Drosophila melanogaster: one gene and its partner. Changing the gene in region 2 together with the main gene of any one other region gives a genetic interaction. Each region holds a gene or a part of one and is shown on either strand. Other genes may lie near its edges.

The links. Genes that interact genetically often act in the same process or in processes that back each other up.
Region 1: of Src42A (region 2) and Sos, changing one suppresses a phenotype caused by changing the other (phenotypic suppression), as found in Drosophila melanogaster (3 studies listed by BioGRID).

The regions. Positions count from the first base shown.
Region 1 is NT_033779.5:13,810,412-13,815,482, reverse strand, and holds the start of Sos (Son of sevenless), read right to left. Parts: upstream 1,668-5,071; 5' UTR 1,270-1,667; coding exon 178-1,269; intron 125-177; coding exon 1-124. Other genes in the region: CG16888 (uncharacterized protein), read left to right, coding at 2,249-2,758; CG16865 (uncharacterized protein), read right to left, coding at 2,849-3,004, 3,126-3,431, 3,497-3,657, 3,718-3,838; Adat1 (adenosine deaminase, tRNA-specific 1), read left to right, coding at 4,033-4,904, 4,962-5,071. UniProt on the Drosophila melanogaster protein: Promotes the exchange of Ras-bound GDP by GTP. Functions in signaling pathways initiated by the sevenless and epidermal growth factor receptor tyrosine kinases; implies a role for the ras pathway in neuronal development.
Region 2 is NT_033778.4:5,989,688-5,996,230, forward strand, and holds the start of Src42A (Src oncogene at 42A), read left to right. Parts: upstream 1-3,304; 5' UTR 3,305-3,690; intron 3,691-6,543. UniProt on the Drosophila melanogaster protein: Required directly or indirectly for the phosphorylation of drpr which is necessary for the interaction of drpr with shark and subsequent glial phagocytic activity.

The DNA.
Region 1 (5,071 bases), on a different chromosome or scaffold from region 2:
CCTTGAGATGCTTGATGTAGTCGAAATACACGAAGGCATGGCAAATGGGCACCAGAAGCAGCTTGGGCAAATAGTATTTGACCGCATCGCGGAAGCCATGGCCGGCTGTGGTCAGAGATGAGGCCTAAAAGCAGGGATTTTAGTAGAATTCTTCGCACAGAAGGTATCAATACTTACCCCTGGCTTAGACAGGAGATTGTTGAGAGCATCCCGTGAGGCCTGCGAGGTAACGTCGTAGGCGTACTTCTTGTACACATCGAACTCCTCGGCCTCGGCCAGTTCCTCAAAGCAGCTACCGACGCAGGGGGCACTCTGCTCCTGGGACATCTCGATGACGTCCTCCAGGGAGCCGAGCAGAGTGACCGTCACCTCGTAAATGTCCATTATGTTGGAGAATATCGGTTCCAGCTCGCGCGGATCGGACACGATCTTCACCAGCTCCTCACGAAAGACGCGTATGATCATGTGCAGGTCGCGTTGGTACTGCTTCTCGTCGTGGATCAGCTCCTTGACCGTCTCCTCGTAGGTGGCACTTGCACGCTGCGCGGGAAGTGACAGGGGACTGGGCAGGATGTGGGCTTCGCTCTGGTTGAGCATGTCCATTAGCACACGATCGGCGTTCATCACCACCTCGATGTCCTCCTTGGTGATCTCGCAGTGGGCGATCTTGATCACATAGTCGCCGGCCATTTTGAGTATGTCCGCTGAGATGTACTCGAGCACGGCCACCAGGAAGGCGGACACGGAGCTATCGATCTTGTACTGCAACACATCCTTCTGGAGCAGCGTGTGCACCTTTTCCGTGGGCAGGACAGACTTGCGTTTCTTCGAGTTGATCACCTCCTTGGCCTCGTTCAGGGCCCACTGATCGATGGGCGCTGGAAAGGACTTGTTCACCTTCTCCTCCACATCCTGCACGGAATGGGGCAGCGGCTTGGCGCACAGCATGGCCAGAAGCCGCAGACAGAGTTTCTCCACATACAGCAGTGCGTCCTCCTTGGCGGTAACCCGTGGATGCACTTGCTCCAGCACCTTCTTTAGCGATGGCGTAAACAAGCCCCTCCATCTCGCAGCATTCTCGCACTTGGTGAAGTCATAGCCATCGCAATCCTGCAGCCCAGCCACGCCACCGCCGCCAATGCCAATACCACCGCCTCCGCCCTGTGAGCCACTACCACTACCACCGCTGCCGCCGCCGCCTCCAGTGCCCAGACCGATCCCGCCCCCGTAGCTAATGGTGTGGGCATGGCCGCTGGGCCCCGAGAACATTCTGTGCGCCGTGGAGTAGCCGACGAGAGCCTGCCGTGGAGCACCTTCGTTGGCCGCCTGCCCTCCGCCTCCCCGCCCGCTGTGTTGTGCACTGAATCCAGCGACGAGTGGAGTGGAGCGGAACCTGGAAACTGGAAACCTGGAACCGTGGGGCACCTGGCACAGCCGGATCACCCGGGCGAACGTCGCATGGCAGTCACACACACTCAAGCGCACGCACTGAACTCGTTTCGAATCTTGAACGGGGCTCGCGCGTCCGTTTCGTTTGCAAATCGCTTGGGCTTCAGCACTTGTTTTCAGAATATGTATCTTCGATATATATATGTATAATATAATCTTCAACTCAATATAATATTTTTCGCGGTGTGACCAGAGTGCGGCACTGCCTAAATCCAGTAAATGCTCGCGACCAGCCCTGATTCGATGCTTAAGAATGTACTAAAAAATCCAATGTAGAGAGCATTCGTGTTGAATGGCTTTTTTAGCAGAAGAAGAAGCATTTTGAATTTAAATTGCAACGAGCAGGTTTAAAATATATTATAATTTACCCAAAAAAAATGAATTTAATTATCTCTTCAATGTTTATATTTCAAGAAATTTATATTTATATTTATAAAATGTCTTTCCTTATCTAAAATCGTAAGGAGATATGCAACATACATATCGACTCATCCCTTATTTTACTTGGATAATGTAAGATACATCCGCTTTCAACGCTTCTAAATCGAAAACAAGTACAATGTGTTCAGTTGAAACAATTAAACATATGAAAGCAATGCAATGCAACAGAATACAAAAACCAAAAACAGTTAGGGAGCTAGCTTCCAGAAGTCGAAGCTTCTATACCCTCGTATAATTATATATTTGAAAAACAATCCATCCAAAAACCATAACTATACGGTATATAGTATACATATACACATATATGTACACTTTTACTTTGTTGTCAAATTTTCAGTGTATAATACTTCAGGTTTCAATGTCCGCTTATAGATTGAGTTGCATCGGGAACGCGGAATGGGGACCCCATACCTCCAATCGTTCCAGCTCACTATTCAACTCGGAGGCCATCGAACAGTTGCGCGATAAGTGGACCCACTTCTTTTTTAACCTGCCAAAGGCGCCTCTCGAATTGCAGCTGGCCAAAGCCCGAGCGAATCGTGCACTCGAGCTGGTCAGGAGCAAGGAGAAGGCTGCTTTGGAACGGACCGAATCCTCGCCAAGAAGTAAGTGCCGTCCACTCACTGCTCTGCACAACTCGCCGCGTACCACGAATCGAATGAAGCTGATCATGGAGACTCGCGTGCGTCCAGCGATCGTCAAAAAGTCAAAGTCGGAGTACAATCTATGTCCCAGTTGTGGGCTTGTCAAGGACTCGATTCTCAATCACCAGCACGCCGAGCAGCGACTGAAGAAGCTACTGGCACAGCATCCCAGTTTGCTGCCAAAACGACAGCATAGAAGGTCAAACTATTTGCGTATGCTATAACTAGATAAATTGCAATTTTTCTTCCAAGAATGCCAGCCATTTGTGTCGTCAAATATATTTAGTTGTGGGTAATAAGGAGGCAGAGTGTGACTATCTTTCCAGTAGCGTGCCGCGCTGCTTCTTCTGCGGCGGAGGTGCGTCCTCTGTCTTGGTTTTGATGCCCACATCGCTCAATTTTCCGCCTTTGCGCTGCAGTTGCTTCTCGATAATCCTTGCGTTGTTCGCATAGCTGTCTGCGATCTCGCGCTGTTTGAATGAACAAAAAAAATGGTTAGTTTGAAAGAGTTGTAGGTTTGTTCGTAGATGATGCAATGATAGATTGGATTTCCTGCACCATTTACAAACCAACTTTAGCTGACAAACTTACCGCCTCGATTTCATCCTCCTCCTCGTCGATGGTAGACACCGTGACCGAGCTGAACTTGCCCATGTTCTTCGTGTGTCTGGTGACGACGACCTTCTTGCCACTGGCATCCACAATACCCGAATCGTCTGGACCGGCGGAAGTCGCTGGCTTGGCAGCCGGTGCCTTGAAACTGCCCTTGATCTCCGAATTCAGCAGCTGTGTGAGAGGACTCTCACCCTTGTTGCGGATTAGGGCATTGGACATGACGAAGGTTACGTGGGAGTCGGGACTGTGGCGATAGTAAAGCGGCAGACTGCAGCTTCGGCACTGAAGGTTAAAGGAAAACATTAGGTGAACTAATGACGGGTAAGGAGTGGAAGTCAGCTACTCACCTTGTAGCGGTACTGCTTCTCGATCCCATTGCCCCTGCTCTTGCGTTTGATGTAGACCATCCTCGGTGTGGGATTGTGGGTGAGTTTGTTGGCATGGTCGTTGGCGTTTATCACACGGGCGTTGTCCACCTCTCGTAGCGGCAACTGTTCGAGGGTGCAATCTGTAGGATAGGCAAACATGATGTACTATGCTTTCAGTTAGTTGGCTCCAGTAATCTTACCCAGAATCAGAGCCATCTTGTTGCACAGACAGTAGTAAATGTTTAGCGGCTTTTCCTCGTTGTACTCCTCCTGATCCTTGGTATCGGAGCAGACGATACTGCGCGACACTACTTTGGGCATGGTTATTTGTGGGTTTCGGACTTATGAAACTTATAAAATTAAAGTAATTTCCTATTTCATTAAACACCGCAAGTAAATAAATAAACAGTGAGACCAGAGTGTGCAAGCAAAAGGTAAACAATGCAACACGCCAATCGATATTGCTATTCGATTACCGAACTTATCGGTTCGCACATTTGCGAATATAAACAAAAATGTGTGATAACAAAAAACCGACTGTTAAGGAAATTGCGGAACTTTGTTTAAAAAAATTCGAGTCCTTGCCAAAAACAGGAAAGCCCACAGCCAATCAATGGACAATTTTGGCGGGAATCGTGGAGTTCAACCGGAACACGGAAGCATGTCAACTAGTTTCGCTTGGATGCGGAACAAAGTGCATTGGAGAATCCAAACTTTGTCCCAATGGCCTCATCCTGAATGATTCCCATGCCGAGGTGCTGGCACGTCGTGGATTTCTTCGCTTTCTATACCAGGAGCTCAAGCAGGATAGAATCTTTCATTGGAACAGCACGCTAAGTACGTACGACATGGATGAGCACGTGGAGTTCCACTTTCTGAGCACACAAACGCCTTGTGGGGATGCCTGCATCCTTGAGGAAGAGCAACCAGCGGCGCGGGCCAAACGCCAGCGGCTGGATGAGGATTCCGAGATGGTCTATACGGGTGCCAAACTAATAAGTGACCTTAGCGATGATCCAATGTTGCAGACGCCAGGAGCTCTGCGAACGAAGCCCGGACGTGGAGAGCGCACTCTATCCATGTCCTGCAGTGATAAGATAGCGCGATGGAATGTCATAGGCGTGCAGGGGGCACTACTGGATGTATTGATCTCCAAACCCATCTACTTTAGCAGCCTGAACTTTTGCTGTGACGATGCGCAGCTGGAATCTTTGGAACGTGCCATCTTTAAACGTTTCGATTGTAGGACATTTAAGCACACGCGCTTCCAGCCTCAAAGGCCACAGATAAACATTGATCCTGGCATAAGATTTGAATTTTCCCAACGCTCCGACTGGCAGCCATCCCCCAATGGCCTGATTTGGTCCCAGGTCCCAGAAGAATTAAGGTAAGGGTCCTTTTAGCTAGACAGTTTCAGATCTAAACATATATTCCTAACACGCAGGCCCTATGAAATTTCCGTAAATGGAAAGCGTCAAGGAGTAACTAAGAAAAAGATGAAAACTTCACAAGCTGCACTGGCGATCAGCAAGTACAAGCTGTTCCTTACATTTC
Region 2 (6,543 bases):
AGTATCAGTTTTCTAGCTTTTCTAGTTTCCGAGATCAGGGAATCCATACGGACAGACATGACCAAGTCGACTCGGCTATTGATCCTGATCATGAATGTACATTCTTTATATTATATTATATATATTATATTATATTCTACTAGGAACAACAAATTTATGCGCTATCGCGTACCAACATTCTATTGATTTAAAATATTTTTTATATATGTACCTGTTAGAAACGTGTTATTAATATATTAATTAATATTAATATTTTGGCAACTTGTAACTTCGGAGTTTGGCTTATGAAAGAAATCTTTAATTCTCGATTTGTTTTTGTTTTTTAAATCCGATTAAACCATAATTTATACAAGTTTTGAAAAATATTAGTTTCCGTGTTATCACGCCAGTGAAAAAAACTTTCCCATGCGTAAATGAATATTTATGATTTTCTGTACTAATGAAATCTCCCCGATTGCCACACGAATGTTAAAGCCCCACAGTTTTTCCATCGGAAGGCGCTAACCAATCTTCTCGAGAGTATTTCTGTTCAGCTTTGAATGTGGGTCAAAGAGAAATAAGTTGAAAGAGTGAGCAGGAAGGTGCAGGGGATTGTGTCTTTATGGTGGTTAAAACGCAGTGACGTCAATGATCACCGATGATTTTAAAGCGTTTACACAGAATACGGCAGAGACGACGAGGCCAGCTCTTGATTTAATTCAAGTGAATTTTTCAGGGGAAATACCTGGACACTCGGTGAATTAACTTCTTGCTTATGCGCTCTTCTTGCTTAACTTGACTTCCGTCAATGGGAAAGTCCGAGCGAGTCGAGCTATTTGACAAAGTGCTAAATGGTTGAACCGAACATCTTAAATTGACTATTACGTAGCTTTAAACGTCGCCAATAATAAAAACGTCTAAATTAGAGCCACCCACAAACACCGAAATCCATAAAACCAATTTTTATTCGTTCCCAGTTCAGATCGTAAATCACTCGCAAAGAGAAGCACATCAAAATCAGCAAACTCACTTAAATACACAAATATATTTTTTTTTTTGCTTTGAGCATTAAGCAATCGCCAGGCGTAGCAATTGAACTCAAGCCTAACTCGAATTTAAAATTTATAATGGAACAACTTTGATTTTGAGTCACTTGTTGCTTTAAAAAGCAGTATCTGTCATATGACGTTTGGATTCTCGTGCGTTTTTTTTTGCATTTAATTTGCCTCGTCTTCCGACACGGAAGACCGCACCTGACGCTATGAAGCTCAACGCAGATCCGCTCTGCTGCTCTCTTGTTTGTTGTTAGCGTCAAATTGCCACAGTGAAAATGATCGATTTATGAGTTTTTCGTTTTTGGCTAGTTCCAATGTCAGAGGAGCATTATTCTGTATACGCATATTGAGTTTCGGTTAATTAAAATGTTCAATAATATGATTGTTGAGAGCGATTTGAGAAGACTCAAATAAATATTTTAACAATTAAAGAAAAGTTATGATACCACAGTTTGCAAATAAATGGGTCCGATTTTCCAAATAATTATAATTTCAGCTCATATGCAGCGAATTTAGTATTTTTTGAACCTCCGTATTCATTATTCATTAATAATTCAAGCCATCCTTTATTTTACTCCCGTTGCCACTATAGGCTGCAATTGTTATTGAACATGACATCAGAAAATGTCGTTGAACCCACGAAGAGAAGGCAATTGTTTTAGAGAGCCACATGCAAGAGCCGTGTCGGCATTTATTCATATTTCCCTGTGTTCATGCGTGGTGAAGTTCCGATTTAGTTGAGCGTTCTTCTTTCGGCTCAGGTGAAGTGTGTGTGTGTGTAGACAAATCATTCGAGTTTGTGGCAAGTCAATAATACTCAATAGAAGGCAATTGTTTTAATAATTTGTCAGTAGCTAAAAAAAAACATAAGTGACAACAGACTCGGTCGTCGCTCTCCAGGAAGGTCGAACGACTACATTTTAATTGACTCAGTGATATAGTGTTAATTTTTAGCTGATACGTCCGATAAAGACTACATATACTAACGGTGAACGTGTTGATGTTATAGGAATTTGAATTAGCGTAAAATTGCACAGGAAGCAAATATTCACCTAGTCTGGCTGGGCATTAATTGACTCGTAATTTACGTAGAGGTAAATACACACATTTCAATCAGATTAGGACAGTAGAAGGAGACGAAATCGCATTTTGTCGATACAGTTTGGTGTGTGGCTAGATTTGATTTCAGTTATACGACCTGTAAGCTGTGACTTTGTGCTGTAATATTGTAAAAGTTAATTTAAAATGAAAAAAGAATATACTGCTAAGTTAGATAACCGTATACTTCAGTGATATTGGCCATACTGCCTAACGTTTTTATAAAAGTGTCCTTTTATTTATTTATTTTGCATTACACAACCCGTTAAAGTTAACATTTAACACTTTCTGTTTACTTTTTATTTCCAGGTAAGTCCCAATATTTCAGTATTTAAGGGTTTTGTGGTCAGGGAAACGGAGAATCTGAGCCATCGACGTAAACACATGTGTTTATATGTGCACATGAATTTCTATTTACATAAGGGAGCTCAGGAACACTCATATTTGGTCAAGTGTTAAATCAAAGTGACTAACGACTATGTTTATAGATTTTGCCCTCCGACTTTTCGCAAAATATCCCCAGGTATTCGTTAATATATTCTTAATATTAAATGGTATGTCCAGGCGCGAGTCCCCACTGCGAGTCCCTTCTGGATTGGATACTAGCCATTAGTATTCCCACGATGTAGACTCTAATATTTTCTATTTCAGCAATGTTCCATAGCATACCTTATCAATGACGAGTTCAATGGCGTTCACAAGAACCCAAGCGGAGACATTTAGAAACAAATAATTTGATTTCCAGTGACGCGACAGTGCTGAGTTATTTTGGTTACGTGAACAAATTAATACAACCTGACATTTTGTCAGTAACAGCGACGAGTTAATTGTTTTCAACTCGATTTGATCTTTGCAATCAACGCACTTTGTGACTAATTGTTGTCGTAATTACAAAACTGTGCAGTTTATCTCGGAGCATCTTAAGAGAGAGGCACTTGGAGACGAAGAGCGAGACCACTCTTCGACGAGCCATTGGACTTCTGGGCCAAGATAAAAGAGACTAAGCACACAAAGATGGATCGAAGAGCGAGAGAGCGGGAACGGTTGGCCAACACGCGGGCAGCGAGCTTGGCTCAAATGGCACACACATAGATGCCAAGGCGGCGGGTGCGAGTGTGTCGGTGCGGTGGCAAGCGGTTAAAACCTTTCTATAAAAATTTCATAAACGTATCAGTTGTCTGCGAAGCGGTGCACAAAACGGACGTGTAAACGGAAGCCGCACGAAAACGGCTCGGAAATCGGAATAGCGCCCGTACACGCAGCACATAGGAAATCGAATCCGAATCTGAGTTAAATGCCTTAATCGAATTTGGCCAAAGCTCGCCTACCGCGCTTACAAGTTTTTTCGTTCACGGGCCGATGAAATCTATATAATCTATTATCCACAAGCCACCACAGAGCCACTAGATGCACTGTGCGGCGCATGCGCGACCTGTTTGTGTTGTTGGCATACTTCTAACAGTCAGTGTTTTCTTTGTTCAAAAGTGCCTCAAGTAAAACCCCACTTTGATATGGATAAGTGGTAACAAGAGCAGCAGTAGCAGCAAAACTGGAAAAGGTACAAGCCCAGGGAAGCTGCAGTGTGCGGAACATTCCTCTGGTGGATCCGAACTCAGAAAAAGATGGGAACAGAACTTTCTATTTTCTTTACTGTTTCGCGTGTGTTTCGCTGGTCATGCAAACATATTTTCTTTGCCTCGGCGCATGCCGCTGGAATTAGAACGGTGTATTCCGTGCGGAATACAAAGTCGAGCTTATTTCGTAAGAGAATTCCTGCGAATCTGGTTATGCAATGCCTGACAGCCCACAAAGTCGTCCTCAAGTTGTTGCGAACTTTATCGTTTACTATGTGCTAAAATGCACAACTGGCTTGCCAAACGGGTGATACATTTTTGTAAGTGCTAAAGCGCTCAGTTCCGTGCACATGAACTTTCTTATACACTGCTGTGCACTTCCACGGCGTTTTTTTTTTTCAGACACCATACCAGGCCTCAGAAATCATATCAATTTCGACTTACGTGACTTGGGCAAACTGCGCCATTTCGCACATATTCTTTGCGTTTAGGCTAAGATTTAAGTTGGCTCTCAGGCTTGGAATTAGCGGAGTTTAGGGCCTTCTTTTATATCGCTTTTCAGCCTTCTCTTGCTGCACTGTGCCGTGGTCGTAAATTTCCTGCGTCATGAGTCATGCCTGTCAGTCGGAGTCGCTTAACAACAGCAGTGGTAGCAGAAAAAAGATAAAGATACAGATACAAAATATTCAGTTGAAAAACACATGAAAATTGCTTTCATGGTATTGAGTGTGGAGCTCCAGATGAGCTAAAGAGAGGCAAAAAAGCTCATTGTTTATGGTAGCTGGCTTCGTGGTCCGCTCTTTGTTGTTGGCATTCCGAGCTGTAACCTCTGATTGTGATCCCTTCGAATTACTCCTTTCAGTTCATTGGTTCTCTCTTCAGCTCCTGCCACTTAAGCTATTAACTGTGGACCGTGCACTTTCCCAAAAACCTCTTATACATACGCTGACGATACTTTGTTTTCAGTTAGAATAAATAAATACAGTAAGGGAATAAAATAAATGTGGTTTTTAAAGCATATATGTGCAATCTCGGAGTCACGTTCCTACTGGAATATTTGCGTCGTCCTTGCACTTCTCTTTTTTGAGTAACGGGTATTTGTTAGTCAAAGAACTCGCTTTGGTGTTTTCTCTTGTTTTTTTAAGAGTGTTGGCGCCACAAAATATTTGATGAATGTGAAGGACGTTCAATTTCTTTTAGTTTCTCTCTTAAAAAAACAATTTTTTTATTAAATTAAGTACACGAATGTCGCGGATATTAATATATATGAAAAGTTCGACATATCGAATAAATTCGAATTCCATGAGTGGAAGGGAACTAAGTCTCGTCACCATTGTGCAATGACCTAAATCACGGTCATAAAATCAAAGCCAAACTTTTTTTTACCATAAGTTTTGTTGTGTTGGTTGAGGTTGTCGGTCAATGGCTATGTTTTTGCTGGCCAAATAGCTTACTTTTGATTTCCACATTAATGGAGCGCAGCAAGCGAATCACAATGTTATTTGCATTAAATTTTTTTGGAGTCACGGAGAAAGTACGCACAAAAGCTATAAATTAGACGGCATCACACAGCTTCTTAATTCCTATCGCTCTCTTGCAATGATTCACTTTTTTTTGGCTACGCAACGTAGACTCGCTCACAGATTTGGCTGAAAACCATCATGTCGAATGGCAACAGAAAGAGTTAGTGTTTGATTTTCGAGGTTTACTAGTTGTGGATTGGCGCACTAGAAGGAAATAACAAAAAAGCAGACAAACATAAAAAACGTTAAACCGGTTCAATTTGGGTCGTAGTACCTTTGAGTGCAATTGTTACCTTTCAGAAACAACGACAACAAAGACTTCGCCAATCGCACTCCATTCCACTCGCTCTGCAGCTCATTATACCCGTTATTATGTTCGTCTTGTTCAGTTTTCTTGGCACGCGTTACCGTAAAAAAAAAAAACTCCCACACAAGCAACCGAAAACACATCGAGCGATATTTTGTAATGACCATGCTTCGAATCGGTTACCATAGGTCAGTCAACAAGTTCGGTGTGAGTTGAGCTTTTATTCAGGGATAAACGCACCGTAGTCTTTTTGTTCATACTCGGTTAGTAACAAAAACTATACAAATCTTTAAAACACTCGAACAATTTTGGTCTTTTTGTACAACTTAACGTATGTAAGAATGTGTAAAATATTGTAAAACACAACGATTTTCTACTAATGTTTTTAAAACATTTTAAAGATATTTTTAAAATATCATATACCGATTCCTCTGAAGTCCACCTACGGCTGTCTAATTCGCTAGATGTTGACTGTAAAAGGTACAGGGTTTTAAAATTGTTTCAATAAAGCAAAATGTTCCCGGATATGTTTCGATCAAGAATATATATATATATATACATTTTATATATACTTTTCAACGAATCTAATTTCCGCTTTTTATCTTCAACTACAGGAATAAAAATATAATTTCTTGGTACACGACAGTATTAGTCCTTGACGTCCGACTCGTGACAAAAACTGCTAAAAGATATAGATTACTATATGCATCAGAGCTTTCAATAGCCTTTCGAAAACAAGACGGGTTCAACTGGTTTTATACAACGTCGTTGCTGTTATGGTTATTGTTGGTGTTTATCGTTAAATCAGCTGTTTTATTTTAAAGTTATTGTTTAGATATTGTTGATATCAGATATATAGCACACATAAATGTGAAGTTTATTGTTTAAGAAACAAGAGTATTAAAGTGTTGGAGTCATCGTTTGTTAGTTAAGTGACTTGAATGTCTGCTATCCCTTACTTTGTTAGCAAATTGCAAACGGATTGCATGTAATATTCACGAAGGTTT